2 linked regions of the Struthio camelus genome follow. The protein of the gene in region 1 interacts with the protein of each later gene in a pairwise test. Links are inferred from orthologs where the notes say so. Each region holds a gene or a part of one and is shown on either strand. Other genes may lie near its edges. The genes, in order: GRAMD1C and CD151.

Region 1 (15,057 bases):
GAGAATTTTCTACCCTCAGTTGCTGCAAATTATTTCATTAAAGGTACCATTAAATAGAACTGTAGTGGATGCATTTGTTTATCCACCTTCCCCCCCCCCCCCCCCAACAAAGGGATGTAAGAAAGTGAAAGCTGACAGCAGTCGATCTACCCCAGTGCTCAGTTTGCAGCTACATCAAAAGCAAAAAAAAAGAGATACACCACATGAATATAAGCAAAGAAAAGAAATTAACCTAATAAGCCATGTAATTCAGACTAACCCTTGAACATAAGCAATTTGTCTTTTTTCACCCTTTTAAAACGCTGCTTCTATGTAACTAGTGTTATCACTAGGGCTAAAAAGCCCTTACTCTCTAGAGATTCCAGATAAGTAACCAAATAACCAAAATATACCAGTGTTACAAGTATAGCAACAGCTGTTTATATCAAAGTTATAAGTTATTTTTTCTTTAAGTGTTAAGTGTGCAAAAGATTTTATTCTCTTTGCAGACCCATAGCATTCATCTACTTCCTATCTTCCTTATTAGACTGCTTCAGGCCAGCAAATAAAGAAATACATAAAATAGGAAAAAAAGCTAAAAATTCCCCTCTGATGTAACAAACAAGCTACACTGCTACTCTTTCAGAAGAGTTTCTTCTGAAAGAAGATATCAAGTACGCAATATATAAGATGAAACAACTGAGAGAGGGCCTTAAATACTAGCCTGCCCCAACATAATTTAACAAGCCCAATAATTCATATTCCCAGAGTAAATGCATATTCCCAGTTCATATTCCTCAGAAAAAGGTGGAAGGAGCATTCAAACACCTCTAGATGCAATTGGTATTTTATCTAATGCTCACCCATAGCACTCCTGTGCCCCAAAATATGTCAACTTATATCTGGGTTGTATTATCTTCTACCCATGTGTGTAGAAGATTATACAATGTGTGTATAAGATTATATACATTGCAGATGGATATATATATATCTGAAGGTTTGAGTCATCAGTTCTTCATATGCCTAGCATATACATTCTCACATGCTCCCACAAGTTAGCCCTTTGTGTAAATCAAATCCACATTTTTTGCCATCTTCCAAAATCCTTTTCCATATCTTACACAACCTTATTCATTCTTATATTATTAAAATGAGAGGCCTCAATTCTTTTCACTTTTCTCTGCATTATTTGTTTGGATCCATTGTACTCCTTCACACTGACCAATTCTTTAAACTGCCACTCCATTCAATTTTTTTTTTTTTTTTAAAAGCATCTTTTACTTTCTTTCCAATACTTCCTTGGTATCTCACACTTCCAAACTCTTGAACATAGCTTCCAGAGTTTTCATTAGCATCTTTTCATTTTCCGAGATATCCATTTGATTTCAAGAACTCTTTCCTTGTACCACTTCATGAAGGGAAGGAGTTTTAAATTGTCTTGCTTGCCAGGAGACAAGGTTTCTACTGTAGGCTATTAATTAAAAGAAAAAGTCAGCCTCCAGACAGAATGTCCTCACCTTTGAGGCAAGGATCCTTTTCACTAGCTTCCTCAAATGCCTTTACCTTCTTCATTATACTAGGTGTCACATAAGGTTTTCATAGGTTTCTTCTTCCAAAGATATCAAATCTAATTATATTACAGTATGAAGACTGGAAGGACAAAAAAAATGAACTGAAAATCTTGAAATACAACTTCTAGGTATAACTGTTCAGTTTCACCACACCTTTGATTTTATTAATTTCTAGTTTTAGCATCTGCAAATAGAACAATTTAATCAAAAGTAGATGCAAGCTTCGCTGGTTCCAATAAAGAAGGAAAGCTCCGAGAGCAGGTTTGCAAGCAAGCTTTTCTTCCCCCTCCGTAAAGGGGAAGAAAGTCCAGTTTTATCCAGTTCTAGTGAGAAGGCTTCCAAATAAAACTTAAAAATATCCCCAAAACAACATTTTATAGGATATTCATGAAAAGGACACGTTCAAAGAAACACTGCAAGCAGTACCAAGCCCTGTAAATCTTGTAAAAGCAATTAGTACTACTGATTAAAGAGTTGCTTGCACGAGTAAAGAACAATTATTCATTCTCAAAAATCCTTCAGGAAAGCTGTCAAAAGTATTATCATTTCAGAGATAGCAAAAATTAGACATAGCACAATGAACTGTTTTTCTTTTTTTCTTCCCTGTTCCTTTTTTGCTGCCCTTCACTTCTACACAATCACCCTATTCAGGGAAGAGTTTATATCCCAGAGTCTCCCAGCCCAAGTTCACTGCTAACCATATGCACTCACAGCACTTACTGAGCGTTCACGATACCTGGCCTGACTTTCAGGGGCATGGCACAACTGCCTACTCCCACTCAGATCCGTGAAAAATTGAAGTCAAACCAGTCAGGCTCTAACATCTACATTTTGTTTCCATCATTGGATAAACTTACTTGGTACTTCACAGTACTTCCTTAGAAGAAGCTAGTTCTTGGAGTAGGCCAAACAATATTCAGACATACACAGCCTGTCAAAGCTAACCACCCAGGCAGCAAAGCAGACATCCGGACAAGATCGCAGGCTAGTGTTACTGTTGTAGCAGCTCCTCAGTCATACTGACTTAAGAGCAGGAACGAGCGGAACAAATCCATACCTGCCACAGGACACTAAGATCATCCTTGGTAAATTGTTAGGGACACATGCTTTGTCTATTAGAACAAGCTGCCTTCTGTGTTATCACCTATACATTTATTATGACTCAGTACCTAGGGAATTCTAATGATTTGTCTATATACTCAGCAGCTGCTCAACCATGTAAGTTATTAAAACATATTTTCTGTCTAGAAGAGCAAAGAAAAAAAGTCAGTGACATAACATTTTAATTAGAAAATTCAAAGATTTTAATTTTTGCCTTTAATTTGTGACATTCTGCCTCTTGCTACTGCTACATTCAGTCCCCTTGAGGCTAAGGGAATGTCTCAATACCACAGCTTTCTATAAATAAAAGCATAGACACACTGATATAGGTTTTTAAGATTAATCAATGACATAAGCAGCACAGTTAGCACTTTAAAAGCCACAGCAGTATCTCACAGAAGGCAAGTGTTTACATAATTCCTTTGTTTTAAGTACAAGGTCATATTTACACAACTAGATAAACACGAACGACAAACAAATACTGAGGTTGTTGAAGTACAAGTTACAGGCAGAAGGTAACCTTTTTAATCACACTAGATAACACCTTACATTTTCACAGTAACTTTCACTGCACCAAAGAATCCCAGTCCCTCTAGAAGTTACAGGCATGCATCATTACTGGAAGCAGAAAACAGCACTATGAACACACAATATACCGCACTGTATATGCATGTCAAATACTATCCGAAGAAAATTTTAACCTTAGGCATGCATCTCAGTTCTAAAATTACAGAGTCAATAGCACAGCTAGATCCTACACATTACTCTTCACTGACTTTATTTTAGATGGTAAAATATCCTCCTTGCCTTTCCTTGGCAAGTTCGGCAGACTGCCGGTCCAACAAATGGACCCCAAGATCTAAACAGGTTTCATTTCTCACATGAACTACCCTCTGCATTAATGGTTGTAGATGTACCTTTGAGAGGAAGCCAGTTTACACAGTCTAATTTGGCCTCTAATGAGAGCATAGCTGACAGTTACTATGTCTGTGCAACCTGATTTGCCATCGATTCAGGTACGCAGATGCAGCTGGGCACAGGCTGAACAGCTGTGCCTAGTCTTTGCTACTGCAGGAACACTGGAGAAACAATGAATGATCTAAACGCTCCCTAGCAACGCAATTCTAAGATCTACTGAGATACCTTTGGGCCTCTCCCTTTTTTATTAAGTCCGGGTTACTATTGTTTAGTTTAAAAGTATACAAGCGTTCTGTGGGAAATTTGAGCTAGGACCCAAGATGCAAACTCAACGTTCTGATCATTAAGACATACACTTAGCTTTAACAGGACGGACAAAAAAAGACATAGAAGCTAGATTTATAAATATGGAGTCGGGAAATCTGATTCCATAGTTCTATTCTCAGGACTGCCACTGATTCCCTTTGGCCTTTGCCAAATTACTTATTATATGACTTAATCTTTTGCTTGGTAAGCACAACGAACACACTCTGGTAAGCTCATACGGACAAGGATACGGTAGTCCAGGTTACATTCCTATGCACACACTGAAGCATGCCAATTTACTCTAACGTCACATGATGCAGAACATGAGTCATTTTGTCAAACTCTGAGGAGCAGAGCACTTGATCTTGTAAGAGGTTTGGGTTATCCTGCCTGTGACTGTACATACGAGTGTTCCCAACTCCTATCTAACAGCAGCAACCCATCCACTAACCTAACAGCAAAACACACCCCCTAAGTCTACACTCATAAATATATTTACCTTCTCTCATGGCAATGCAAAGAAAACACCAAAAAGCAGCAGAAGAATATTTAAGACAGCGCTTATTACGATACCCTCCACACTTTGAGTGAGACAACATCCCCGAGAGGAGAAAAGTGAGACCCCTCCTCCCGCTCTTTCTAGTCTCAAAGACTACTCTCTACATAGGAGCCGTGAAGCGTATTTCCTTTTGAGGAAAGCACATAGGCTTGCTTGACCAAAAGCAGACACTAGGAAAGCACATGAGAAGAGCTATCCAACAGTAAGAACCAAAATTCAGCTCTTACTGAGCAAAAGCATCAACAATGACTTCCTAAAGGCATAGAGAGACATTGCATAGGCTAATAAACTACACAAGGAAGTGGGAGACAGGACTAGGTACCTAAGTCAGAAATCCTGCCACTAACTTGATACATGACATCAGGTAAAGAGCTCTGCCCCTCTCTGTCTCAGCTTACGCTTCAGTAAAGCGATAATGATAATTTATCTGCCTCACAACACGGGCAGGGAAGGTGTTATTAATTAATTACTACAAAGCAATTTGAGAACTATGGATGTAAAGCTAGCACACGTACACATACAAAAAAACCCAACAAATTAGAAGAAAGGTAAGACACATTACCCAAAAGCTCCAGTCAGCACTCCAGCTATACTGAGCAGGAACCTGCATTTTCTCTGTGCACGAGCCAAGAGCCTCCTCTGAATCCACAAGTAGCTGGCTAACAAGACCATGATCCACTTCATGAACTTCCTGTGAACAAACAAGCAGGGTATGTAATTTGACAACAGGGAAGAAAGGTGCTGAAATAAGATTACAGTTAATCCATTCACCGACTCTGTGTTAGATGAAAACTTCAACTGCTAGACTCACCAAGGTATATGCCATGGAAATGCTTCTCACTGACGGCATTCCCACTGATTTTACTTTTTTTTTTTTTAATATACATATACAGAGTATACTGTATTTATTATTTACAGAGCATATTACTTGCACAGCAGCATATGAACTTGCACATTGAAACTGCGCAGGCACTTAGAGCTAGAATGGCGTTAACACAAGACATCAGTACATGACACGCAGGACAGCTCTGGAACCTAAGGGACTTTCCAAGAGCTGAGAAAGGTCACGTAGATCTAACACCTGCCAGAAGACTGACATAAGATGTGATGTATACAGACAATATTTATATTAAGTGGCAGCTATACTAAAAACTGTTGTTAGAAAGATACAAGCAACACACATCAGAGGCAAATAGTTCTGTTAGTATCACTTGTTATAAAAACCTTGTCCGCAGCACTTTCCGTTGATAGACACGGATTTATTTCACAGGGCAGATCAGCCTTGCTTTAGGAAGGGAAACGGAGCCGCAGGAAGGGAAAGACATTTCCCCTAAGTCACCCAGCAAAGGGGCAAAACCCTTCCAAGGTCCTGACCAACAACTAACGCTGCCTAACGCGCCAACAGGAGACCAAAAACACGTTTTGAGTTCAGAACGGCATCCAAAAAAAAAAAAAAAAGAAGAAAAAAAAATCGAGTTGAGGCCGACCCCGGTGGGCCAAGGCGCAGAGCACATCCCCAGCGCCCTCCTGGAGCCCGGCCCTGGGGACACCCCAGGGCAGACGCTCTAACCAGGCGCCTCCTCGGCTCAGAGGGCACCAGGGCCAAGGTGGGAAGCAGAGCTGCTCTCGCCTGGCTGGAGGCGTACTCGAGGGTCTGCGGTGGGAGAGAGAGACCGACGCAACGCCTCCCAGGCGCTCTCCCCACACACAGCTGCGGGCCCGCTGCCAACACCCGTTATTTTACCTTTACACCCCCCCCCCTTACCCAGCGCAGCACTCGTCAGCCCCAGGACACCCTCCCCACCCCACTGAGCGGCTCCCCCGCTCCTTCCCGCCCCCCCCGGCGCCACAAGGCCCCGGCGCCGCTCCGGAGGGAGGGGAGGAGGGGGCTGCCCAGCCCGGCGGGCACCGGTCGCCCCCTCCCGCCGCCGCCAGCGCCCAGGCCGGGCCGAGCGCCCCGAGCCGCGGCCCCGCCTCGCTCGCAGAGCCCCCGGCGGCCGCAGAAGCTTCCAGAAACGGGGCGCTGCGGCCGCAGGTTTTTTTTTTTTTGGGGGGGGGGGAGGAAGGAAGGAAAGGACGAAGGGCCTCGCCCCGCTCCTCCCGGGGCGCGCAGGGGAAGGAGCGGCGTTACCCGGCTCCGCGCCACCTACCTGCGCAGCCCGCCGCCGGCCGGCTCGCCCCGGGGGGCGCAGCGCGGCGGCGACGGGCCAGCGGCTGGGGCATGGAGGCGCCCCGGCAGGGTTTGAGGAGAGCGGCGAGGAGGGGGGGGGGGAATGAAACAAGCCCGGAGCGGGTCGGCGGCGCTTACCATGGAGGGGGGCGAGGGCGGCGCGGCACCCGCTAACTGCCTCAGCGGGGCCGCGGCCGCCATTTAAAGGGGCGGGCGGGCGGCGGGCCCGAGGTGAGGCCGCGGCCGGCTGCCGGGGCGGGCGGGCAGGGCAGGGGGGCAGCGGCCGCCCTCGGCTCGGCACGGCAGCACCCCGCGGGGGGAAGTCGGCAAAGAAAATGCCCGGTGTGTCGGGTCCCCGCCGCCCGGAGCGGGTTTTTACGGCCAACAGAGTGAGAAGGCTTCAGCCCAGTTCAGCCCCCGCCTCCGGGCGCGCTCCTGTCTTTCATCTTTCCCTCTTCTTCTGCATGATCCTATTGAAATAAGGGGAAAATGATTTAAAAAAAAAAAAAGGAAAAAAACTCAGCTTCAGTCATTGCTGTTCGTGGCGGTTCAGTGACGCAAAAGGAGCTGATCACAGGCCGTTTTTTTTTTTTTAACAAGTCTCTTAAGGAGCCAGTTCTTCTGAGTAAAAAGTCCTCAGCAAATAAGTGGGGGGGGGGAAGGAGATAGACAAGATCGCGTCCCAATGTCACGACATTACGCAATCCCATCAATCTGACAACGGGGCTGGGGGTGGGGGGGTAGGTGGAAAAGACGTTTCAAACGCTACTGCAGAGAGCCACCTAGAGGGCCAACGCGGGCAACGCCGCCAAACCAGGGTTTTCGGGACACCCCCTTGCTCAGCAGAGCTGCTCTCCCAGGACCTCCTCCAGGTGGGCTCCCGAGCCCCGTCGTGTGCCTGCCATTACCGGGCCAGGAGCTCGGGTTTTACTGCTCTGCCCTCCCTCCCGCCCCAGTGAATGGCTCTACGTGTCCCCACGCAGGGGGGTCAGCACGGGCGCCGGGGCTGCCCCCAGGAAGGGCACGGCAGGGAGCGGGGCTGAGGCCTGCCCTCCGGTCCGGGGTGTCTTCAGAGGTGAGCAACCAAGGGAGTGAGATAAAGGGAACAAGCGGTGCGGGGAGAAAGCAGATTGTTTTTTCACACGCCGTTCCGCTGGATTCTGTAATTAACACATCTACATCTGTCTATCCATCTGTCCATTTATCTATCTATCTATCCATCTGTCTATCTCACACACTTAGCCTGCTTAGAGAGGGAAGGCAAGATTTCCGCCCTCTCCGTTTCAGGGAACTCGTCTGAAGGAACTCAAGCTCTCCGCTGTAAAGCTGCTGAGCTGTGCCAAATGGTTTGTCAGGGGTGTGAGCACCCCAGATTTTGAAAGCTGGGCTTCAAGTTCAACGCCGCCACGTAGCGCCCTTCAAATTAGTGGACCCAGCTGAAACTATGATGGCCTGCGCACTTGTGCCCTCCGGTCATATGAGAGGAAATAAAAGAGCACTGTGACATGACAAGAACATTTCCATCTTGCTCACCCGTTGGTTAGTAGGCAAGGGGCAGGGATAACGGCACTGTGGAGGGAAGGTACGACAGGGAGGGATGCAAAAGGCCTTGGTGGCATGGCAGGTATGGCAGGGCAGGGGACACAGCCGCTCACCTGGAGCATCACTTCTTTTAGCATGGTAAATGCAGTGCCCAGAGCCAAACACCGGGCTACAGAGAGCCAGGGAAGTGTGGCGCTACCGGCGGGAGGAGCAGCTGAGGGTTGGTGCGCTGGGTCAGGGCTGCTTCGGATGGCTGGGGCACTAGGTGCCCGTTCCCCTCCGGCTGCCCAGCCTCCCGCATCGCCCCAGGTCCCGCCGCCCCCCTCTCCCGTCCCCTCGTGTCGGGCTCCCGAGCGCTTCCCCCCACCGGGCCCATCTCCCAGCGCAGCCCTAACCTCGCAGCAGCACTGCTTTCCCCGCCGAGCGTGGAGGCTGTCATCGGACGAGTGGTTTCTCTCGCTGCTGCCCCAGAAAGCGAGTTGAGGCCCTTCCTGAAGGGGAAGCGCTCAGCCTCGCACCGCACCGCTGCATTAGTGAAGGTGACAGAAGTCCCCCGGAGGTCCCCTCGCAGCCCTGGGCCCAGCCACGACAGTTGTAACGCTGACAACTGCAAGTCCTTGCATTTTACAAGAAGGTGCTAAAAAGGATGCACGTTTTATTTCTTTTTTGTTGTTTGCTTTCTTGATTTGGACCGCTGAAATTCAAATTTTTTCAAGCTTTTCTCGACAACACTCAGGGGACAAGATTACTTTTCTTTTTATCCCAAAGGTGAGATTCTCTCTTAATCACACTGTGTTATCCAAATGTGAGGAGCTTCACATTCAAATGATGACTGCTAGCAACACCAAAACCCCTTCGTATTGCCTGGCTTAGAAGCTGGCTGGCCTGACAATTTTGCTCGAGCATGTCCTATTTAATGGAGGATTCACAAAATAATTACTATTACAGGATGAAATGAATATAACCAGCAGCTGCAGGAATAGCTGCAGTTATGGACACATCAGGACACACTTAAGGATTTTTTAGGACAGCACCCAACACTTGATGTTTAAACCAAATACTGTTTGCAACTCCTATGATCTAATACCACCTTCCCATGCTGATTTCTCTGATACGCAGTCATGGCCAGTGACTAAACCATTCTCATTTCGCTTGATCTGCCAAGTACCGTTGACTTGACTGATTATTCGCTCTTCAAAATCTTGATTGTTTTTGACTCCTACAACTCATTTCTTTCATAGATCTCGTCAATATTCCCTTCAGAAGAGCTTCATGATTCACCTTTCAACTTTCTGCTGAAGTGCTGTGCTGCTCTGCTTTTGGTCCCAATTCCCGTCTTCATACATACGGTATTTCTGAGTGATCCCTTCCTGGTAATCCCAGGTATTCCCACACTTCCAACCCATTTAAAACAGGGAAGAAATATTTGCCTTTTATGTTCTTTAGCTGTCCTCCCCTCTCGCCTACCCTACTCTCCGATACAGGTGTCACCACATCAAAGCTAGAGCAACAGATGGTCACTCAAAGAATGTGTTGTGCCTCTTGGTGTCACCTGGTCAGCAGATTTTTGGAAGCCAGACGTGGAATTTCTTGAAATGGTTACTATGGAGCATCCACACACAAAGATGCAAATCACAGAATTAATGAGCAGAGTATTCAAGAAAGCCATACAACGGTAGCATTGTGGCAGTTTTCCTCACGGTGGGTTTTTTTTTTTGGTCCTTTTTACTTCTAAGTACAGGAACAGAAGTAACATGCATGCCTCTCCTAACAGAAATGTGCTTTATTTGTGTTTCAATGGATGTGGAATGGAGTCTTTACTGGATATTAAAGTATAATTTGATTTATCTGAAGGGTTCTGTAAGATAAGCAAAATCATTAGATAAAGCCAGCAGGCTTCTAGAAAAGTCCACCATAATCCCTAATCCCGTATCTGAGGGAAGAGATGTCAGGCAGCTAGCTGGAAAGGGCCGTGCTCGGTACAGCTGTAACACTGCTGGCAGGGCTGGATGTTACAGGCGGGGTTTAGGGCTGCTGGAGCTCTTCCCACCAAGGAGTGTTGTGTCTGTACCTTTGTGTGAACCCCAGCTTTCACCTCTAGAGCACACAAGTTAGTTTTGCAGGTAGGCCATCTGTTTATTTATGTTTTGTCCTTCACCCGGGTGGCATAGACGACCTTTACTTAAATAGAGTTTTAAGTAATCAACTTTTGGTTAATCAGCATTTGTTCTTTGCTGGGAAAAAAACCCACAAAAACTTTGAGGATATATTTTAGGTACGTACACAGGGTGAATATAGCCACAGAGAGTCTGAATTCCCGTAGCTTCCTTTACGGTCCGTACGAATAATAGGAGCCCAGCTGCTCAGAAAATCAAGCCAAGGCTCTTTCTTGTCTCACTTTCTCTAGTGGGGGGTGAGCAGCAGAGAGGTCTTCTCCTGAATACCTGAGTATTCTGTACTCAGCCCAAAGTTCTGGTTTATAGGAGGCCGAAGCGAAAAAGGAACAGATTATCCTCCCTCTGCTCTTAGAGCATTTTCAGCATCTTCATCAGAACAGCCCCTGGGAAGTCATTGTTGTAAGTTAAAATGTGGCTGTCATCCAGGCAGCAAGCAGAGCACTGTGAACTCAAAGCTGCGGTAACTTTAGTAAGTGTGACATTCACTGGGCAGAACGTGAGCTCCTGTTGCAACAACACACGCATACTTTTTTGCCCATACTACTGAAGAGAGAGGGAAAGACAGTGAGGCCATATACTTTAGCGCTATGAGCCAGCATTTTGGAAAGCTCGGTAGGGCTGCAGCGTCTTCACTTCTCTTCTTCTTACTGGTGGGTGAGTACCGAAAAACCTTCCTTAATTTTAAGAAATGTAGCTTATTTCCAGAGCTTGGATTGAGAGGTTCTTTTCTGTTTTTCAAAAAGCCACTTTCCCCTGAGGGCTTCCTCAGGATGCAGGAAAACTATATATCCAGTGCTGTACACTGTATTAAAAGACTGTTTTGTTTGTAGATACATTCCTGTATAGCTAATAAAAATGTTTGTTTGAATTGGATCCCCAGGGTGGAATTTATCTTTCCAGAAAGAGTGTGTTTGCCTGTCTTTTTCAAGAAGAAAGGCTGCGTACCATCATTAGTAGAAGCTTCGTTTCTCTTTCGGTTTTCTGACGTATTAGGAACCAGTTATCCTCACAAGGTAGTTATTCATGTCCATTTGTGAAAGTCTATCTCAGCTCAGGGCAAAAGCCATATAAATAAAGATGATTTATGTACAGTCTTTGATCGCTCAATCATTGACAGTTGGGAGCTGGATAGAGCTTGTAAATCACCCTCAGGGCACAAGCTGAGTGTGAAGTTGAGCTCAAAAGGCATCCAAAAGGTGGTCATTCCAGCATGAGAGGATTTTTTGTGGGTTGGAAGTTGAGTCCTGTTTACTGTCAACCTCTCTTCCATCTACCGAGCATGAACAAAGGGGAGGAGACACAACTGGAAAGATCAAACTTTGCACTGAGCTCCAGCTACCATTTTGGTTCCCCGACGCTGTTGGCAGCTGGCATTACGGGCTGCGCTGGTTTACTCCAGGGACCAAAGAGTAAGTTAGAGCTTCCAGGACTGGGAGAGAGCACATATATATTTTATCCTTTGATTTTTTTCATCCTTACCTCCTCCAGCCTGCTTTGTGTGTTTCTCAGTCACAGCCACAGATATGGCCTTATACAGGAAAGTATCAACCTGCAGATTATTTAAAGGATTGGCCGATGGGTTGGCAGATGCCCTATTAGTACTGTTAAGCGTGGAGCATGTTGGCACGTTGCAGGGAGTCCCAGAGAGCTTTCCCCCCTCATGGCTGAGAACTGGCCTGAACTACTGGCTTTATGTGACAATGACCTATTAGATCATCTAAATGTTTTTCCAGGTCAAGACAAGATCATCCCTGCTGTATTTCTCAGTATTCTTTCTAGCCAGCTTTTAAGTGCTTTCACCAGAAAAACTCATCTTCCTCCCCATTGGGGAACTGAGCCCTACTCCCCACATGACAGGGGACCTGCACATCACTCTACTAATGAAGTAGTTGACATAAAAAGGTCTTTGAAGCAGAGTCAACAAGGCATTTGGCATGGTATACTCCCAGATGCCAATAGGATAAGGGCACTGTGTATTTAAATATCAGTGAAGTAGTATGTTCCAGTTTTGCAACTTCCTCCCCCCCAAAAAGGAACAAAAAAAAGACATATAGAGGCTATGCTATGACCTTCTCAGTGGAACCATCAAACAGAGCGGGCACTAAAACTTTGCATTTTAATTTTCCTAATTAGCTGGAAGTTACATGATATGTATTGAATCAAAGATGTGGGATGACACAGAGACAAGGCCAGTTATTCTATTGTAGGAGGTGGAAATAAAACTCCTGGTGAATAGAGACAACATCAGAGCATATTGTTTCTGCGCTGTTATGTTCTCTATGCCACTAAGTGACTGTGTAAAATGATACATCAGTAATGATACTTTTGCATCATTAAAAGTAATAAAAATCGTAATTGTATTTCTGGGGGTGTGTATTATAAGACTGGAATGCTTATAGTGGAGAAGAAGGGAAAAAAATGACAATTAAATAGAAATTTTGTTGCCTTTCCTTGAAAACAAGCTAGCTGCTTACTACTCTAGCTAAAGCAGCAGTGTCCAGTGAAGATAATGGTCAATGAACAGGGATTTTAAAAGAGTATTCATTACAAAACCTGCTCAAATTCATGCTAACAAATCACCAAATATGTCATATCGGAATATTTGATGCACAGAGACTGTTAGTTGTCAAACTACCTCAACTTTGTCGAGTATTTCAACTACTCTTTGTACTTTGTCAAAGTACCTTGTCAAGCTACTTCAACCTTTATGACTATTGAATACATTATACTGTAATGTAACTGGAAAAGGCAAAGTCTGGACCTCAGTTTCCCCTGAGCAGCTCCAGTGGGCTCATCAGTAAGATTACGTGTGAACCTGAGGTTATTTCATCTGGTGTCTTTAGTTAGGGCTACTCATTTTAGGGGACTGCACATCCAGAACTACAATCGTATTTGGGTCCCTAATTCTCAGGCATCCAATTCCCATGGATCAGGGTTCCGGGTACTAAGCCAAAATTCTGACTTTGAGGCAGTCAGCTGGTGCCATCCCTTCTCCCCTCATCTGTTTGGAATGAACTTGGGGGGTTCCTGTGCACCCCTAAACCCAGGGAATTTGATTAAACTTGGATTTTGCATGAGTTATATAAGATAGGAGACTTCCTGTGACCATTTCTTGCGTTTTCAACGACTCAGGGCTTTGATGGGGCAGAGCTTTCTGAAGCTGATTCTGGGCCGGTTGAAGTGCAGCTGTTGCCTCTCAGCTCCTCCATTCAGGTGTCTGGGCTGAGGTGGGGAGGTTTACAGACCTGGGAAGAAAACTCTAGAAATTTCTCATTGAATAGCGCTTCCCAGACCTTATTCCTTGTTATGTTTTTAGACTGCTGGCTGACACAGCTCCCTCCCATAGGTCTCTGTCGACTGCATGCAGGGACTGGCTTCTACTTTGTCCTCTGTGGGCGCACAGGGAGAAGCGTAGGATAACCAGCTCTCCTCCTTCTATTCTCCCTCATGTTCACGCTGTGACCAACATCCTCGCCTGGCACTGGAAAGTCATTCTTGGCAAAAGGGTGGTGCAAATTGTGACCATCTCAGGAAATCGTTCTGTTTTGGCAAACTGGGGGGTTTCTGATGAAAAAACCTTTTTGTTGAAAAATTGCCAGGTGGTTTGGGTTTTGGTGGTGCTGCATGTGACTTTCTGTGGGCACCTCTCGTGAGCCGTTTTGGAACAGCAGGCATGTAATGTGCTGTGTTCTTGCTAGTTTCATAGCCAGCTTCTACTTCCTAAAGTTTTGCATCCATGGGTTATCTCTTGTCTGATATTTCAATCTTTTTATAAGGCATCTAGAACAACTGGGGCCCTGCTGTCTGTCAGAAATTACCAGTGCTACTCCCATACAAGTCATAAATAATAATAACTATGAATACAACTGTGATTTTGTACAGAAGCATGCCTGGGGGAGCCCTTCAAGTAACTCTCAAACAGATCATCAAGGGTTTTGATTTTCCGTGGCCTTGGGACATTTACCGATGAACATACAGAGGCTATTGTGATTGTAAAGCAGTACCAGACCCAAACAATAGCATTTCACACCCTTAGAAAGGCTATAAAAGGCTCAAGACAATGGAAAATTGAGATCCTCACTGTGAAATGGCCTGGAATCCTTGAGAAGGCACCAACTGGTGTGAAGGGAGGCTACTTTACTTAAAGAAAATGAAACAACAGAAGAAATTTTCCCAAGAATTGGTTTTAACTCCTTCTTGGTGATTGCTGTTGGTTTATTTTTAAGAGTTTGTTTTCCCCTTTTATTGTTCCAGCTGGGGATTTGAGAGAGCAAGTGTTCCTCTCATCTTCTGAGCCTGGGCTTGTTTCCAGAAATGAGATACACTCATACTACCCTTAGCTTGAGGCTGTTTGATACTATGATTAGCAGTTACATCGGAGAAGGCAGCTTTAAATCTCTACTACAAGCATGTTGTCTGTATTTTTGTAACCAAGAGTAGCAGGATAATATGGTTCCTTCACAGAGAATAGATGTCACCCAGTATACTGTCCAGAGTCCTCTTAATTAAAATATGATAGTCAGGCAGTGTCTTCAGGTGCATCTTCTATCTTGCAGCATGTTAGCTGTCAAAATGGAGTCAGCTACTTCATGTGCTGCAAGTTTTCAAACTCTAAGCTGTTGAAAAACAGTTTCAGAACGTGGGCTGCCCAGGCAGACTAGCTTAACTACCTTTCTGCAAGTCAAACAGAAAATCCAGTCCCATCTTTGTACTTTCCAGCTTTATCTGTAAAAC
Region 2 (15,440 bases), on another chromosome or scaffold:
ACAACATGATTAATTGTTTCTGAGCTGAATCCACAAGCACAAAGCCCAACGCTTCCCCATACACATACAGAGTTTAAATTTAAGGAATAAATGACCCAGCTCTTGAGAAGGGACAATTCACCCAGGAGAATTGTAAAGGCTCTTCCTGAAGGCAGCCTTATACACATCATTAGGCTCGCACCTGAGACCAGTTCTTGCTCCAGAGTGGGCCGCTCTGAGGTGGCACCTGCCACATGTGTCTGCGTGCTCGGTTTTCATGCTGCTCCCATTGCACGCATAGCTCTCCGTGAGGTCCATGGGTGCTCTGCATGCAGCTTACGGTGACCAAGAAGCAAATAACAAATCCCCTCTGTTTCCAGGGCAACAGAAGGGGCATATGGGATATGAATTCCTCCCTTCTGCATTCCACCAAAGCTAATAAGAGACACTGACATTCACAAGCCATGACTCACTCCTGCTGCATCCAGCACTCCAGAAGCCCTTGCTCACTAGCTGGCATGCCAGAAACGCAGACATGACTGGCATCTGCAGGCTGCCCCATAAGTGTATAAATTTGATTGAAATCGGCCTTCCTCCATATTTTCTCTAACCTAACAGCGTGATCACAGAGGATCAGAGCACTCCCCGAGAACAAACCACGCAGGCATCGCTGCTGCTGCTCTGGCACATTAGCAGGTCACAGGTCAGTGAGGCCCAAAACATGAACCACTTCACACACAACAGAAATCCCTCCCCCGGAAATTCCTGCCTCTGGCCGCTCTCAGTCTCAGTTTTAAAATGATTTTGTCAGTGAAAGATCCAAACAATCTGTTATTTGTACACTAGCTACGTTTGTGAGAGACCAAATCACCAGCCTGCCAGGTGCAGCACAGAGCTGTGAATCTCAGCCCCTAGGAGCTCAAAATTTAGATACTCAAGACAGAGTCAGGGCAGGCGTTACCAGCCTCATTTTCCATAGCGAAGCGATATACTCCGGCAGAGCCAAAAGCTGAACCAAGACCTAAAGCCTCAAAAATACGTAACATCAGATTTTGTGGTCTGCCACTCCACACAGAGACACATCTCAAGGTTTTAAGGAAGGGATTTAGCCTGCTTTCTAACGAGACCTTTCACTGAAAGCAGTAGGATAAGGATACCAGTGACTACTGCGTTATGGATTTGAACTGAGGGCCTGTGATCCCACTGATGGTATTACTGACGGATCAGAGACTACACTTTGCAAAGCGTTAGTGCCAAGAACAGGCACGTGCATAATCTATCAGTGAGCCAGGCACTAAGAGCTAAAAGCCAGCAGAGCAGTGGAAACACACCCTGCTCTGACATCATCAACACTCAGAAACATCTAGGCACCCACCAACATAATTCAACAGAGTGCTGACTGCATCACAATACATCTGATGTTTTGGCCCCCAAAACCTTCTTTCCTTCTATTAAAAAACTTTTCTGTCCTTCTTTCAAAAAACCTATTTGCAGGTGCCACCAGTAAGCCTCTAAATGACACTGACTTCCTCCTGCCTACAAGAAACGCTCCCATTCTCCCACATAAGGGCAGATATTTTTCCAGAGTGAGGTATTTTCACCTCGCTCATTTGTAAAGTACAGCCAGATCTTTTTCCTACAGCATCTCCAGAATGTGTTTGTTTCCTCTCAGCCTGCCCCAATCCTATGGGGACAGAGACATCTGGGAAGTGCACTGCAGGTTTCAGCCTAACTCCACAGCTTTTTAGGAGTGTGGAGCTTTCACTTTGCAACTACAGATCTAAGCACAGGCACCTAGATGGAGCCTCACAGCTCTTTCCACCGCCCTACCACCTCCCCACCACTCTGTTTATCTCTAGCATAATCAAGAGAGCTGTCCCTTGGAAAGCACACACAAAAGGAAAGAGGACTGGGGCTGGAAGAGTGAACTTTGCTCTTTCTCAATTTAGATCTAGTACAGGCAATAGATAAGGAACAGCAGTCAATGCCAAACACTTTATGTCACCTACTTCTGGCTCAGTTATTCCTTATAAAGCCTCATTACTGCTGCCAGGATCAACCCTTTGAACAACACCCCTTCCTGCACCTCCTTCACTTCTCATTTCCTGCCTTTCTTAAGGATGTTTTGTCTTTGCTCTCCCTGTGCTGCTTCCTACTTCCTTTGCTCTTCCTCAGACACGCTCACCTCTTACATACACACTCAGCAGTGCCCGCGGCAGATGCAAAAAGCAGAAAAACACCATGGATGCAGGCACTATCCTGCCAAAGAGCCCTCTGTTAACCTCCACAGAAAGTAATTCCCGACTGTCCTCCTTTATCCCACTAGAGTGGTATCCTGCTTCCACTATGCCTAGAACTGCTAGCATCAAAAGCATGCACAAAGTACACATACATAGATATATAAAAATAACTTCCATGAAGACCCCAGCTGACATGTGTCACGGCAGCTACCTTTGCTTACATCCCTCTAAGGAGCCAGCTACACTTTCAGTCACATCTCAAGCTTATTTCACTACTACTTGAAATGCAGCTACAGAACTGCACAGCACTTTTACAGCAAGGATGGGAGAATCGTAATCACCCACCAGCAAGAGGAATTTAAGTTAAAAACACAGACACAACCAGTCATACTACAATGTGGCCAAGACCCCAAAACACACCTCTTATTCCGGTATGAAATAGCAGAGGCGCAAAATAGTAACTGTCCTCCTAGTCCCTCTTTTTCTCCCTTAAGTCCCTTACTGTGCAGCAGCCGGGACAGGGGAGTACTAGCACAGATCGGATTCATTCCTCTGCTGCCAGGCTGTGGAGACCACGGGCAGAGGAGTCTGACAGGCAGGAGGCAGCAGGGCCCTGGCAAGAGCTACGCTAGCCAGCAACGCTCCTGTTGTAGTGCTGATACTTGCCAACCGGGTTCAGCGGTGATGAACCCTTTGGCACCATCGGGAAGGACAGTGTGCAATGCTTTTGGCAGACTCATCACAATACCTCATCCGTATGCCGTAGATCAGCTGCTCTTTACCTCACCTGCTGCACTGAGGTTTCCAGCAGGGGAGAGGGGCATTTCTCCCAGACTGAAATGGGGCCACTGTCCTGAGGGGAAGCTCTGCAAAAGCGCACACGCAAAAAGGAATGGGAAAATAGAGCCATTTTACAGTGACCCTATTCACTTCATTTTGGCTTTGTGGTGGCTGCCAGTGCACGCAACTGCACAGGGAAGAAGAAAATCACATTCAGGGTTTGAAAGGAAGGATGAGCAAGTGAGACGGAAGGAGACCTAGTCTTCATCTTCAGGATTTTGGGGGCTTTTAAACAACCACAGTGACCAGGTTTCTGCTCCTCACAGACAGGGAAATTTCAGCCTTTCTCAGCTTCCAGGAGGGTCGCCCCACCTCAGGCCTTCCATAACCTCAGTTGTTGGTGCATGTGCTCAAAGAGCAGCTGGAGATAACCTCGTGTCAAGCCCAGGAGCAGACTTGAGCACAGAATAGAGGTGATGAGTATGAGATGTTCTTTTCATGAGGTTTAAAGAATAAGATCGACAAGATAACTGAGGACAACAGAAGTAGAGTGGGACATAAAATGAAAAAGCTCCCCTTTTTTGCTTTTTCAGGATCAGTCAATTCATCTTTTATCCTTCTGAGCTTCTGTCTTAGTCAGAAGGCAAAAGGAAAACACACAGGGACAAAAGAATTGCTTGACAAGTGATTAAATCACCTAGAAATACCTGACAGGCTAGTTTGCTACATCCAGGTATGCAGGGTGGTAGAAGTGTTTAGTATATTATTTTCTTTCCCTAGGAATCTTTGTGGAGTCCCATAGACACATGTAACACATGCATGTCTCTTCCTTCTATGCACAAGAAGTAGCCCAATGCAGTCCTTAGAGAGGAAGCCAAACTTTGCAGAAGTAGTGAACGTGCCTGGGGCACACCCCAACTAAAGGGCACCCAGCACAAGTCAATCCCTTCAAGGCTGTCTCAAGAGCAAGGGAATTGTTACCTGGCCTGTGTATGTACCTGGGAAACAGTTACAGATTTGAACAACAATTATTATTAGCTGAGGATAACATAATACGCCTCTCAGGAATTCCCTATGGGGGATAGATAGCACTACATCAGCCACCCCCATCTCGCTTTTTTACTTGACAAAGGAATATAAGCAGCTTCTTTCCACCCCCTTGCTGAAGAATCTCTCACACCCATCAGCACAAACTTTAGGAGGCCACACTGAAAATATCCTTTGCAGAGCCAAGGTTTTGACCGCAAGTGCCTTACTGTACTTGAAGAGAAGCAACACTAAACGTACATCAGCGTAGCAGTAGACTAGCAGAGGAGTATGCCAGCACTCACTCAGGCTGGGTGCATTATTTGCAGGCTAGGGGAAGGCGGGGGAGGGGGAGGGTGGGAGAAGAGAGAAATACTGCAAACAAGGAGGGACAAGATGGGCAGTGCCTGGCAAAGGGAGAGCAGGCGCCAGGCTGCACTAGCGGATGTCGCTGCCACAAGTGCTTGCATGCATCAGCAAAGCTGGCGACACTATACAGGGCTATCAGGGCTTGCCAGCCAGCAGGACTGAGGCGAGACGGTCCATCTCTCCTGTGCCATACTTCAGTCTGACAAAACAAGCCGTGCTTTGCTCTTAATAATATCACCTGGCAGCAAAAGAACAAGCAATGCTGTACAGTGCTGCTGCCATTCATCTCACACAATAACAAAACAAGTATCATTGTGGAAAGCCCTGGAAGGCAGGAAACATGGTCATGTTTATCTCAAACGCTGACTTACGGCGAATGACTCTGCCTCAGTTTCCTGCCCGTTCCCACATTGGCATGACACTTCCATACAAAAGGGTTGGGAAGCTTAAGTGTCTGTAAAAAGTCTTTTTAGGTTGGTATGCCTTGCTAACCCAGGGGATTACTTCTATATTAGATCCAAGAGAAGGAGAGCCACAATCTCAACCAGGCTGTCACAGTTTATCTTAGCGCTCTGCTCTCTGCACGGTCCTTAAGAGCAAACCCCCTCCTGTAACAGGCCTGCCTTGAGACAAGAGAAAGTAAACTTACAGTGGCCTGCCTTGAGACAAGAGAAAGTAAACTTACAGTGGCCTGCTACCAGATGCCTATAAAATCTGCAGTTATACTAAGAATTTTAGACTCAAGTTGATGTTAAAGGCTAGTAGACTTCTACAACACCTGCTTTACTATGAATTTAACGGTCTCCTGTCTACTAGCAGCCCTGCTTAGTTAGCAATATTATGTTAGCACTTAATGTTGTCTGTGGTCAGAATCAAGGTCCAAACTTGTTGGATGCTGGGACTTCTCTGAGACAGTTCCTTTTCACTTCAGGCTGCAACATCTCAGAAGAGGAAGGTGTTATGGTCTCTTCACCATGAGCAGTCCTTTTTTGGTCTGAATAATGACAAGTTCAGAGACCCTTCTGTTTTAATAGTACCCAGACGGTATCTTGTCATGCCGAAAGCTTCTCTAACAACCTAGATGATGGCCTCACAGATGGCAAAGAGACACTTTTCAGCATAAGGGACTTGTCTGCAAGCTGTTTAACAAAACAGCTGCTAGTGCAGGTTACCTCTGATGGGTGATGTGTTACCTCTGATGGGTGATGTCATTTTAATTAACCCTTGTGCTAGCAGACAACTTAATATTAACTCTCAGAGCAAGAACTGAAACAGTATAGAGAGAAGGAGGAAGAGAAGTAGGGTAATTTAAAGGATGCTACAAATTAGCCTGAAATAAAGATACATAATTGCTAAAACCCAATAGGCTACTGCAACATGTTGATGGAAAAGCACTAGAGAAGAGTAAGGATTTTTTAAAAACAGTTTCTGCTCTTCATAAGATGACATGGAGCAAGGACTAATGGGAAAGGTGGCAAATGATATTATGCTGCAACAATAACCCATCGCCAGGTCTGATTCAGCTTCCAGAAAGCAAACAAAAGGGAACATAGCCTGGATTTTCCAGCAAACAAGGCCTCTCTCCCCCTCTTCTGCCTCCAACAGTTCTACGAGTACAAAGGCCATGCCTTACTTGAACAAAAAGGAAACATAGTTGAACACAAGACAGAAATAAACAGTTTCACAAGATTAGGGCAACATTCAGAACACCTTTCTAAAGCACAGACTGCACAACGCTTCTGAGCTTTCAGCAATAAATGAAAACACCTTTAGAAAAACGCAAAACCAAAACCTGGGAGGAGTTCTAAAAAGTGCCCTGAGTCTTTCAGGAAGAAAAACAGCCCTGCAACTGAAGGGCCAGAGCTGACCTTCAGTGATCACAGGCAGGTACAGAGAAGCCACCTCACTGCTCCGTACCTCAGCACGCCATTCGGGAGGGAGCAGGGCAGGGGAGAACGTAACAGCGCGGAAAGGAAGCGGACTCTGCAGGTGCACCAAGCACACCCACGGGCAGCCCTTCGCTTCCCCTCTCCCAGGCTGTACCGTTACAGGTGGGCCGATCACACAGCACCTGCCTTCAGCCTCGTCTCCCTGCAGCCCGGCTCCCCGAGCTGCCGGGCCATCCCGGCAGCACCCTCAGAGCCGCACGCGCGCCAGCGACCCTCCGTGGGACGCACCGCAGACACGCTCGGGGCGCGTCAGCGACTGAAGGCAGCGACGCCAGCCCGGGCCGCGCGCCGGGCAGCCGTGGGTCTGCGCCACGCTGGGCAGGCGCGCGCCAGCTCCCAAGCCATCTTCGGACAGGCAACGAAGCGGCACCTACGTGCGGGAGGCAGATGTTATTAGCTGCTATTATTAATTATTATTAAATACCATTAATCGTTGTTATGTTAATTAGTATTTCTGCTCTTTGGTTGGGGGGGGAGGGGGTTCAGTCCGGTTTCAGGTACGAACCAGCCCCGTCCCCACAGCGCGACGCCCTTCCCCTCAGCGCGGTCCGCTAACGGCTGCGGGGGGGGGGGGGGAGCGTGCGCGCCCCCCTAACGGCCGCGGGGAGGGGGGGAGGGGAGCGCGCGCGCCCCCCTAATGGCTGCGGGGAGGGGGGGGCCGCCCGCCCCGCTCCAGCTAACGGCCGCCCGCGCGCGCCCCCCTAACGGCCGCGGGGGGGGGGGAAGGGGAGCGCGCGCACCCCGCTCCCGCTAACGGCCGCGGGGATTGGGGGGGGGGGGGGGCGCCGGCCCCGCCCGCCCCGAGAAGCCGCCATTTCGGGGACGCCCCGTCTCACCCGTGCGCAGCCGGCGGAGCGCTCCGCGCTGCCTCACGCCGCGACCCGCCTTGCTGTGGGGGAGGAAAGCAGCGAAGGAAGGACGGAGGGAGGGAAGGGAGGAAGGAGGGAGGGCGGTGCGACTCGCCCAGCCCTGCCCAGGGGCGGTCCCTCGCCGGGCGGGCACCTCCCTCCATATTGCAACGAGCGCGAGTTTCAGGCTTTCTTTTACGCTTCAGAGCTGCTTGTTAAAAAGAGTTTTCCACGAAACAGCCTGGAAATCAAGCCTTGACCGGCGCATCGCCTCATCCTCCCATTATCTCATTTCAACTTCTGTCCCAATGCCTCCGCGCCGAGAAAACAGCTCCGCGCAGAGACAGGTGGCAGGGGAGGGACCCTGGTTCACTGCCCTTGGTCATGAGGGACCACAGGAGTGGTCTCAACACGCAGTTTTGGGGGGGTGACGGGAAGGAAGAGTTGAGATCTGAGCAGGGAGGGAGGGAAATGAGCAGATTAGGACCCCCTGGGTGTTTGCCTCTCCTGCCCCTCTTCCCAGTCCCGCATCGCTCCGTCCCTCCCTCTCTCACAGGGAGCAAACAGACTAATAAACTGACACCACACTTTTTCTAGGCAAGTCAGCCAAGCCCAAGAAGCCACGTGTGGACTGTGAGGAGAGACTCACTCCACAACAGTTTTGTTGTGCATTATTTAGACATCATCCAGTTTACAGGGAACCAGAGAGGGCACTGGGGCCCCAGAAAGGCTGAGAGAAGGAAGGCTTTCAAAATAATAGCGGCCACGTTAGACCAAAAGCAGTAGAGAAGAGCCTGCTTCACACAGAACTGGAAGGTGCAAGAAAAAAATCCAGGTATGAAGTGAAAACAAGAAGGCACAAAAGTTCCATTTTAAGTATAAGCAGCATTATGAAAGAAAAGGAGCACAAGGGGGAAAGAAAAGCCCACTCCCATCTCCTCAGCCTGCTGGGAACCTAGCTGGGCTTTAGCTTAGAGCCCTTGGAGAGCCAAGCGATTAAACAGAGGTGACTCAGGCAACTAATCACACATAGATGCTTAGAGGTTTGCTCAGATTCTCACAGATAGCATGTGGCAGGGCCAGGAGGCCAAAAATAAGAGAGACATAGGTCCCTACTCTACCCTGCTCTCCTCGGCAGAGCCCGGGGCAGCGGCGCTTGGCTGCCTTCTTCCTGTGTCCAGGGTTCTCACGCACAAACAAGAGAGACCGTAGCTTCCCACTTTGGCAGATCTGGGTCAGCAAACCAGCATGGTCAGACAGCACTGCTGTTCTGTGTGTCATCTGTGGGCCGGGTCGGGAAGGCAGAGGGGAGGTATACCACAAGACCCTGCTCCCCCCAGCATATTACTGGGGTAGCCATGGACCCAGCAGCACGGTCTCATCACGCAGGAAATGGTACTGCCGGGCTTTTCGGCAATGCTTTTGCCCTTTGAATGCGCTCTTTGGTTGCTGCCTGCTCACCTGCCGGAGCCACTGCCACCACCTGTAGAAATGCAACTTGTGTTAACATTTAGATACGTAGCCTTTGCCTTGAAAAAACTGACTCTACCTGGCCAGTTCTACGGGACTAAGAAAAGGCATACAGCTACTCTAGTGTTTGCAGGACCTGGGCCTTATTAAATTGCGTGGCTTAATGAACACATAAAGCATACCTCGCAGGCATGAAGAATCTGGAGTCTGATTATTGTAGTTGTGCAACTGAAGTATGAATGTGACTCATAAGCAGCTAGATAAGTAATAAGCAGAATGACTGGCTCAGAGAGCTAAACAGTTCAAAACTGCACTGCTATAGATCTACTGGAGAAATAAATGGACCAGGAGATATCTTTAATACTCTGTTTGGCTACATAGCATGAACTGAACACAAGGTATGTTTATAATTGGAGCACAGGTGCTCGTTCACTATCTATGGAGTAAGCAATTAATCAAGTCAAAAGTGCATGAAAAGGACATGAACAGAAAGTGGTAATAGGACAGAAAATAATCCAGGAGAGACTGCAGGGTCCCCATAGCAGGACAGGAACGGATTAAATGCATGTAAGTGGAAACTATCCACTGGCGTTCGGGCTGCTGGAATAAAGAAACTCAAGTAGCGCCACAGTGGCCAGCGCATCTGTGTAAGCGGCTGTGTGCTGGCATGCCTTCGGGGTGCCAGCGGTGCCACAGGAACAGGCTGCCCTGGAAGGAGCAGGACATGCTCCCGGAAAGCCCACGAAGAGCCGGATGCATGCACGTAACAGCTGAGGGATGACGCGAGCTTGCGCTGCCCGTGCACCCTGGCTCTGCCGTGCTGCTGCCTGGGCCTCCATCCTGACAGGGAGGTGGGCGAGGTGGGTGTAAAGAGGCTGTGCTGTCTCCAGCGTGCTCAAGTGGAGGCGACTGCAGTAAAGAAAACAGAGAATCAGGATTCTTGTTTATCCTAAGTGAGGCTTTTTCTAGTAACACCAGTAATTCTACTATTTGACAAGCTGGGTATTTTTCCCTCTAATCTCTTATCCATCACAGTTACAGGCAGAAGAGAAGAAACTTCTCAAGCCTTCGGGGTTCCTTGTATTTGTCCTGTGGGAAGGTTTTAAACAACGCTGACTTAATATTCTCTCTGGAATCCCATTTTTGGCCTTTCAAAGAGATGCTGTCAGGCTAATCCTGTTATGCTTATCCCTAACATATTAACATGAAAGAAAACAAGCAAAACTAAAGGCAGAGTGGGTTCCCTTTGCCTCTGTGTGAAGTTTTGGGGGACTCTGGCTGCTTATTAGAGCAGCTGCTTTTTTCTCCTCTGTCCCTGGCTCTGACTGTATACGCAGCTGCACTGTGACATGTGCCAGGACAGATTTCCCAGACTGTAAGAGGAGTGCCTTCTTGTGATACGATTTCAAAGTGCCTTACAAATTATGTGCAAAGAGTCACCTGTCCACCAAGAACTGCAGCCGATACAGTGCAGGAATAAGCCCCTAGGCAGAGTTATTTTTACATCCTGTCCTAGTCTCATACCATCTCAGGATCTCATCATTATCTGCTTTTATTTATTGCTGCTGTTTCCTGCAGTTGCTTGCAGAGGATGGCTGCTCCCAAGGCTCCCATTTGAAAGCAGGAGAGATTCTGACAAAAAACAGAAGGACTTAGAAAAATTAGGAATTTTGTGGAAAGCAGTTCCTAGACAAGTTTGGGTCTGTTATCAGAATGGTTCAAATACCAACAGCATGCCCCTCCATACTGAAAGCGTCTAGGTTTTCCAACAAGAAATTCAAACATTCTGTGGGGAGACAAGGGAAGATCCCTGTCCTGTCCAATGTAACACACACTCTGGTGCTTACTGTTGTCTCAGTGCAACCTGCTCAAACTCTGTGCCACCCCATCACAGCTGAAAGAAAAGTCCACCCTGTCCTTGCTAAAAAAGAAGTTAAAATGAAGTACCTCCTGTACCGGTAGTCAGTTTACAGAAGGGGAAACGAGCGATAATTTCTCTGGTTGAAGATGCAGAGATTAGTTCTGTAACATCCAAACGTATCTAATTCAGCTGGAACTGAGCCATGGCACAAGGATACAGAACAACCATATTCCTAATTCCGGTGAGAAGGGTACATGAGATATTATTAAATATATGTCTAGTTCTAGAAGTACAGACATAAGGTGACAATGTGCCTTCTCTGAAAGCACTACATGGCCCCAAACATTTGGGAAGCCAGTTCTCCTCTCTGCACTGGCTTCCCTGATGAGCCAAACTCCAGCTGCTTTAAAGAGAAAACAACAAAACAGGATGAATTGCTCTTGTGCTGCCCCCAAAACGAGGGTTCCTGATCAGCTTTTATAAACCTCCTGTATGTACCACCAGCAGGGACAGACAAGTGATAACATCCATGGTCCTTCAGAGCCACATTGACTGGAAAACAAGCCAGGTCATCACTGAGCAATCTAAAGATTACAGGTGTTTTCTGAGAACAATAGAGAGGATTTTTCTTGCCAAACATATTTTTTTTTTTGCAAACAAAAGCAGTTCTGGCAGCCTGGCTGGTGCTGTGTATAGCATATACAGCCCTGGTCCCTGCAGGACCTCTTCTAACTTACTGCTTCCTGGTCTTTGAAAAGTGTTCTTGCAATTAAATCCACTAGCTGTTCAACAAGTCTGAAACACAGCCAGTCAGCAGTAAGGACGGACGGGCTTATTATCTTTAACTATTCCTTTTGGTCAGGAATCCTAACTCTTCCAGAGAGAAATTTCCTCTTTCCTATCAGAAGGAAACTACACAGGGAGGAATCATGGAAAATCTTTGTAATGCTGACAGGCTGTAGGTGACTCAAAGCACTCTTCCTGCACGGGATCTTCCCAGAGAAATCTGGGCAACAAACAGACGCTCAGAATTGGAGTCTGAGTAATTGCCTTATCCCAAGAGAGGAAGGACAGTGGATAAATATAGGCGTTCTCTATACCATAAGGCTGAGCAAACAGTTTCATAGCTGCAGTATTCACATCTTGCACCCAAGATTTCAAAGTCACATACAGAAATAGGCTCCAGAATAAAGGGGACAGGGCATCACAAAAAGCTCACTTAGTCCCATAAGCCTTTAGGGTGACTGAGCTACAGCACACAGAAAGCATCACGGCCCAAAGAACAGGGCTTCATGCACAAGCACAGAGGCAGCGGCAGCTATGTAGAGTGTCCCACAGGGTCAGACCAGCTGAGAGGTACTCATGTGGGCCCAGAGACCAGGCAGCCGTTGCTATCTTATCCCTCACTTCCCCATGCTTTGCCCCGCTTCTTGGTGACAAGCGGGACCTTTCCCAATGGGCACAGGTCCAAACTCTGCTCTCGCTCAGACCCTTTGCCAGGAAGCAGGTTATTCCACAAGGTCACTGCAAGGTGATTAGGTACGTTCTACAGCTGGGGCAGCTGCCTTGTGCTTCCACACCAAGCACGTTTGAAAGAATTACAGTCAAGCCAGAAAGGTGGGATCTGGGCATGACCTCTTAGTACTGCAGAGAAGACAGCTCCTAACTGCTGGAGATTTTTCAGGAAAGAGTATGAGAGTGGCAGGAAACAGGCAGCATTCAGCCTTAAAGCAGGCTCTGTATGGCACCCCCGGTAGGTACTGCACAGCTCCTGCAACAGGTGGTTACAGAACAACAGCACGTGTTTTATAAGGCCACCTGCGAGCCCCAGGGCAACTGCTCTGCATTCTGTGAACAGTATGAGAGGACAGCGCCAAGGTCCGACAGGGTAACAAAATGAAGAAAGCCATTGGGATAAATAGTTTACTCGATTGTACTGTATCCACAAATGGAATCAGTTAACTGCAGTGTTAGCAAGTCAAACCAAATTTCCCAGTAAACAGAGGGGGCTGGATCCAGATCCTATGGGAACTGATGGAGCCACTCCCGTTGATCTCAGCAGGCCTTCAGCTGGGCTCTGCAATTACAGAGCCAAGAGGAGATGCTGCTCTTGCAGAGAGATAGGTCACTACCTAGAGTAAGCCTTAATTTAAAATAATCTCTTTATTTCTTACACAATTGAACAATAACATCATCTAATTAAAACAAAGCCCATGATGTCCTCCGCTCTCTGCTGCTAGGCCACATCTTCGCCAGACAGAAAAGGAACAAGACTTCATCATTTTATAGAGAAGCAACCACTACAGAAAGAAGTCCCAATTTGTGCCATTAACCAATACCAGCAGAGTTCCTTCAAAGAAGCAGAGGCCTCCCAGAGATCAGGGCTCTGTGCAACAGTGGGAAATGGAACAGCGCAGACAATATGTACATTTTGTCCTGATTTAGTCCCTTCATATTTCCAGCTGGGGAAAACTTGCACCTTCCCCAAGTCTCTGCAGAGCTGATACCATCAGATTCAGCTTGCTGAAAAGGAGCCCCACCTTCACGCACCAGAGTTGGCATGAGTCTCTCGCTGACTTACTGATGTGCCTTAGGTGCAGCACCCTTTCCTCCTGCTGACATCTTCCAGCTGCAGGGCAGTCTCTCTCTGCCTGTCTTCCTGTGCTGTCAGCAACCTGGAATAAGCCGCACAGATCAAAAACACAACCTGGATACTGAGATCTTCCTGTCAAGGCTTTTTTCTGTGCCCTTGTATCCCCCATCAGCCAGGGCCATCGAGGATGTTGAAAGTGACTGGCCAAAAAGCTGGGCTTGTTTGGACACTGGGTAAACAAATCACACACAGAAAATAAGCATGAATTTGCAGGAGGGCAGGACCAGGGAGAAAGACTTGACATGTACAAGAAGAGACGGCATGGCTGTCAGAGCACCAGACTGGGGCTTGAGTGGTCTATGCTTTATTTCCAAGTTCCCTGACTGATGGCAGGATCCCAGGACGCTCACTTCACCTGACTGGGTCATCCCCTGCAGAGATAGGGCAATAAAGCACACCAAAGGCATGTGCTATGGGAGATGTGATTTACCTAGCTACTAAGTAAATCATCCCAGTTAATAAACAGCTAAGTCCTGCTGTGAATTTAACAAGATGATGCAGCAGGAAAGGAAGCAATATGAGAAAGCAAGAGGACATTTTTGTTACAAAATTTCAAGGATGCTTAATATAGTAGGGAAGAAAAACCATTACAGGTGCATACAGATTTCAAACTGAAAATTCCATCTTAAAATCTGGAATATTATACAAAGCTTTTCTGACTAAATATTCAAATTAAGCCCATTCACTGACCTGGCCATGTGCAGCATGGGCTCCACGATGTTATAGCCAGTCATCACGCTGCACTCGTAGAAGACAGCCTTGTATTCCTGCAGAGAGCAGAGCAAGGAAGGCCCAGTGTCTGCTGCAGGCTCCCCGCACTGTACACCAGCACCCTCGGGAGCCAGCCCTTTCCCCCTGCCCAGCACGCTTGCAGGGGTCACCTCCCTTTGCTGGGAGCAGCTGCTACCACTGTGCCCCCCACTGGTGGCACGGGCGAGACCCCACGTCCTGCTCACCTTCGTGGGAACATGAGGTGGTTTTTCAGCAATGCAGGGCCCAGCTGGAGCATCCCACAGGGAACGCTGGGTATGAAGCAAGGAGCGACACCATTTCCACCCAGGGTACTTGGATTGTCTCACGTTTGTGCTAGAGAGCCCAGCACATGGAACAACTCTGAGACCCTGCCCTCCTTCTCCCACCCAGCAGGTGAGCGGTGAGGCGGCACCGGGCAGGCAAGCACAAGGAGCGAGGGAGGACTGTGCAGAGCATGCATTAGATGGGAAAACAAATGGGAAAATGGCCATGGATGTTTCCCCCAGAAAGGCTGAGCATCACTGTAAGGAGGCACCCAGCCTAAGCAGAAGCACGTGAGCATTCCCCAAGGGCCAGTGTCTGCCACTTGCTGGCCACCTCATCCTCCCTGGTACCAGAGGGACCTTGGCACGCGTTTGCATTGGAGAACGGGTGGGGGTGAGAGAGAAGGTACCATATTCGGAAACGGCTCCGAGTTCAGAAGGGCTCCCCTCCACCCAGGCTGCCCTGCTCACAGCCGCAGGGAGGCCGTAGAGCAGGAGAGCACAGAGTCACACCTTTGCCAGCCTTTCGCCCTCCACCTCGGGCACACTCCGGGCCCCTCTCAGCACAGCATCCGTTTTATTTCCAAGTAGAAAGATCACAGCTCCATCCTCGATACCTTCCTGCAAAAGGAACAGAGCAAAGCACCCGTGAGACTCGTCTGAGGGACAGAAATATCCTGGAGCAGATCCTGTTTCAGCCTGTGTAAACAGGAGCTTTGCCATTGACTTCAGTGGCAGCAGAATCAGGGTCCCTGAAGGAGCTGCCAAAATATTCCCTTCTGCTCATTAGAGACCATACCCTAGGGATTTGTGGGAGGAAGTCCAAACTATGGGAATATATTCCAAATGTTTGATGCGTACAGCTGGGGTGCCTAGAGAGGGGAGACAGGACTTGGTTCAAGTTCCTCTCTGGGAAATAAGAAGCCTAAAGAGGAGCAAATTTGCTCTACTAGGCTACTGGAAATTTAAGTTCAGACAGGGTTTCTTTTTAAGCTCAATAATTTTTCTTCAATAATTTCACCTGATGTACTGTCCCTGAACTCAACTGTCCTTAGCTGAAAACCCACTGGCCAAGCAGGCTAAGCAACTTCCAAGCAGAGACCCTTTCTTGCATAGGGTCTCAGTAGCATCTGTTACTGCTAGATGATTTCTGGAGCCCATTACCTTACGTAAAACTCCCTCTAGTTCCACTGGCCCACTAGAAAATCACCAAAGGACTGCAGAATGTGATTCAAAATTATTTCCAAAC

Evidence for each region.
Region 2: the proteins of GRAMD1C (region 1) and CD151 interact in binary tests that used the Homo sapiens proteins (3 or more experiments, as listed by UniProt). The link is inferred for Struthio camelus from reciprocal best matches to the Homo sapiens genes GRAMD1C and CD151.

Annotation. Positions count from the first base shown.
Region 1 is NC_090942.1:96,523,954-96,539,010, forward strand, and holds the start of GRAMD1C (protein Aster-C), read right to left. Parts: upstream 6,866-15,057; 5' UTR 6,806-6,865; coding exon 6,743-6,805; intron 6,664-6,742; exon of another isoform or gene 6,585-6,663; intron 6,215-6,584; exon of another isoform or gene 5,285-6,214; coding exon of another isoform or gene 5,246-5,284; intron 5,126-5,245; coding exon 4,997-5,125; intron 1-4,996. Other genes in the region: myelin protein P0-like, read left to right, coding at 10,911-10,977. UniProt on the Homo sapiens protein: Cholesterol transporter that mediates non-vesicular transport of cholesterol from the plasma membrane (PM) to the endoplasmic reticulum (ER).
Region 2 is NC_090946.1:16,210,027-16,225,466, reverse strand, and holds the start of CD151 (CD151 antigen), read right to left. Parts: upstream 7,290-15,440; 5' UTR 7,180-7,289; intron 1-7,179. Other genes in the region: CRACR2B (EF-hand calcium-binding domain-containing protein 4A), read right to left, coding at 13,113-13,197, 13,866-13,942, 14,705-14,812. UniProt on the Homo sapiens protein: Structural component of specialized membrane microdomains known as tetraspanin-enriched microdomains (TERMs), which act as platforms for receptor clustering and signaling.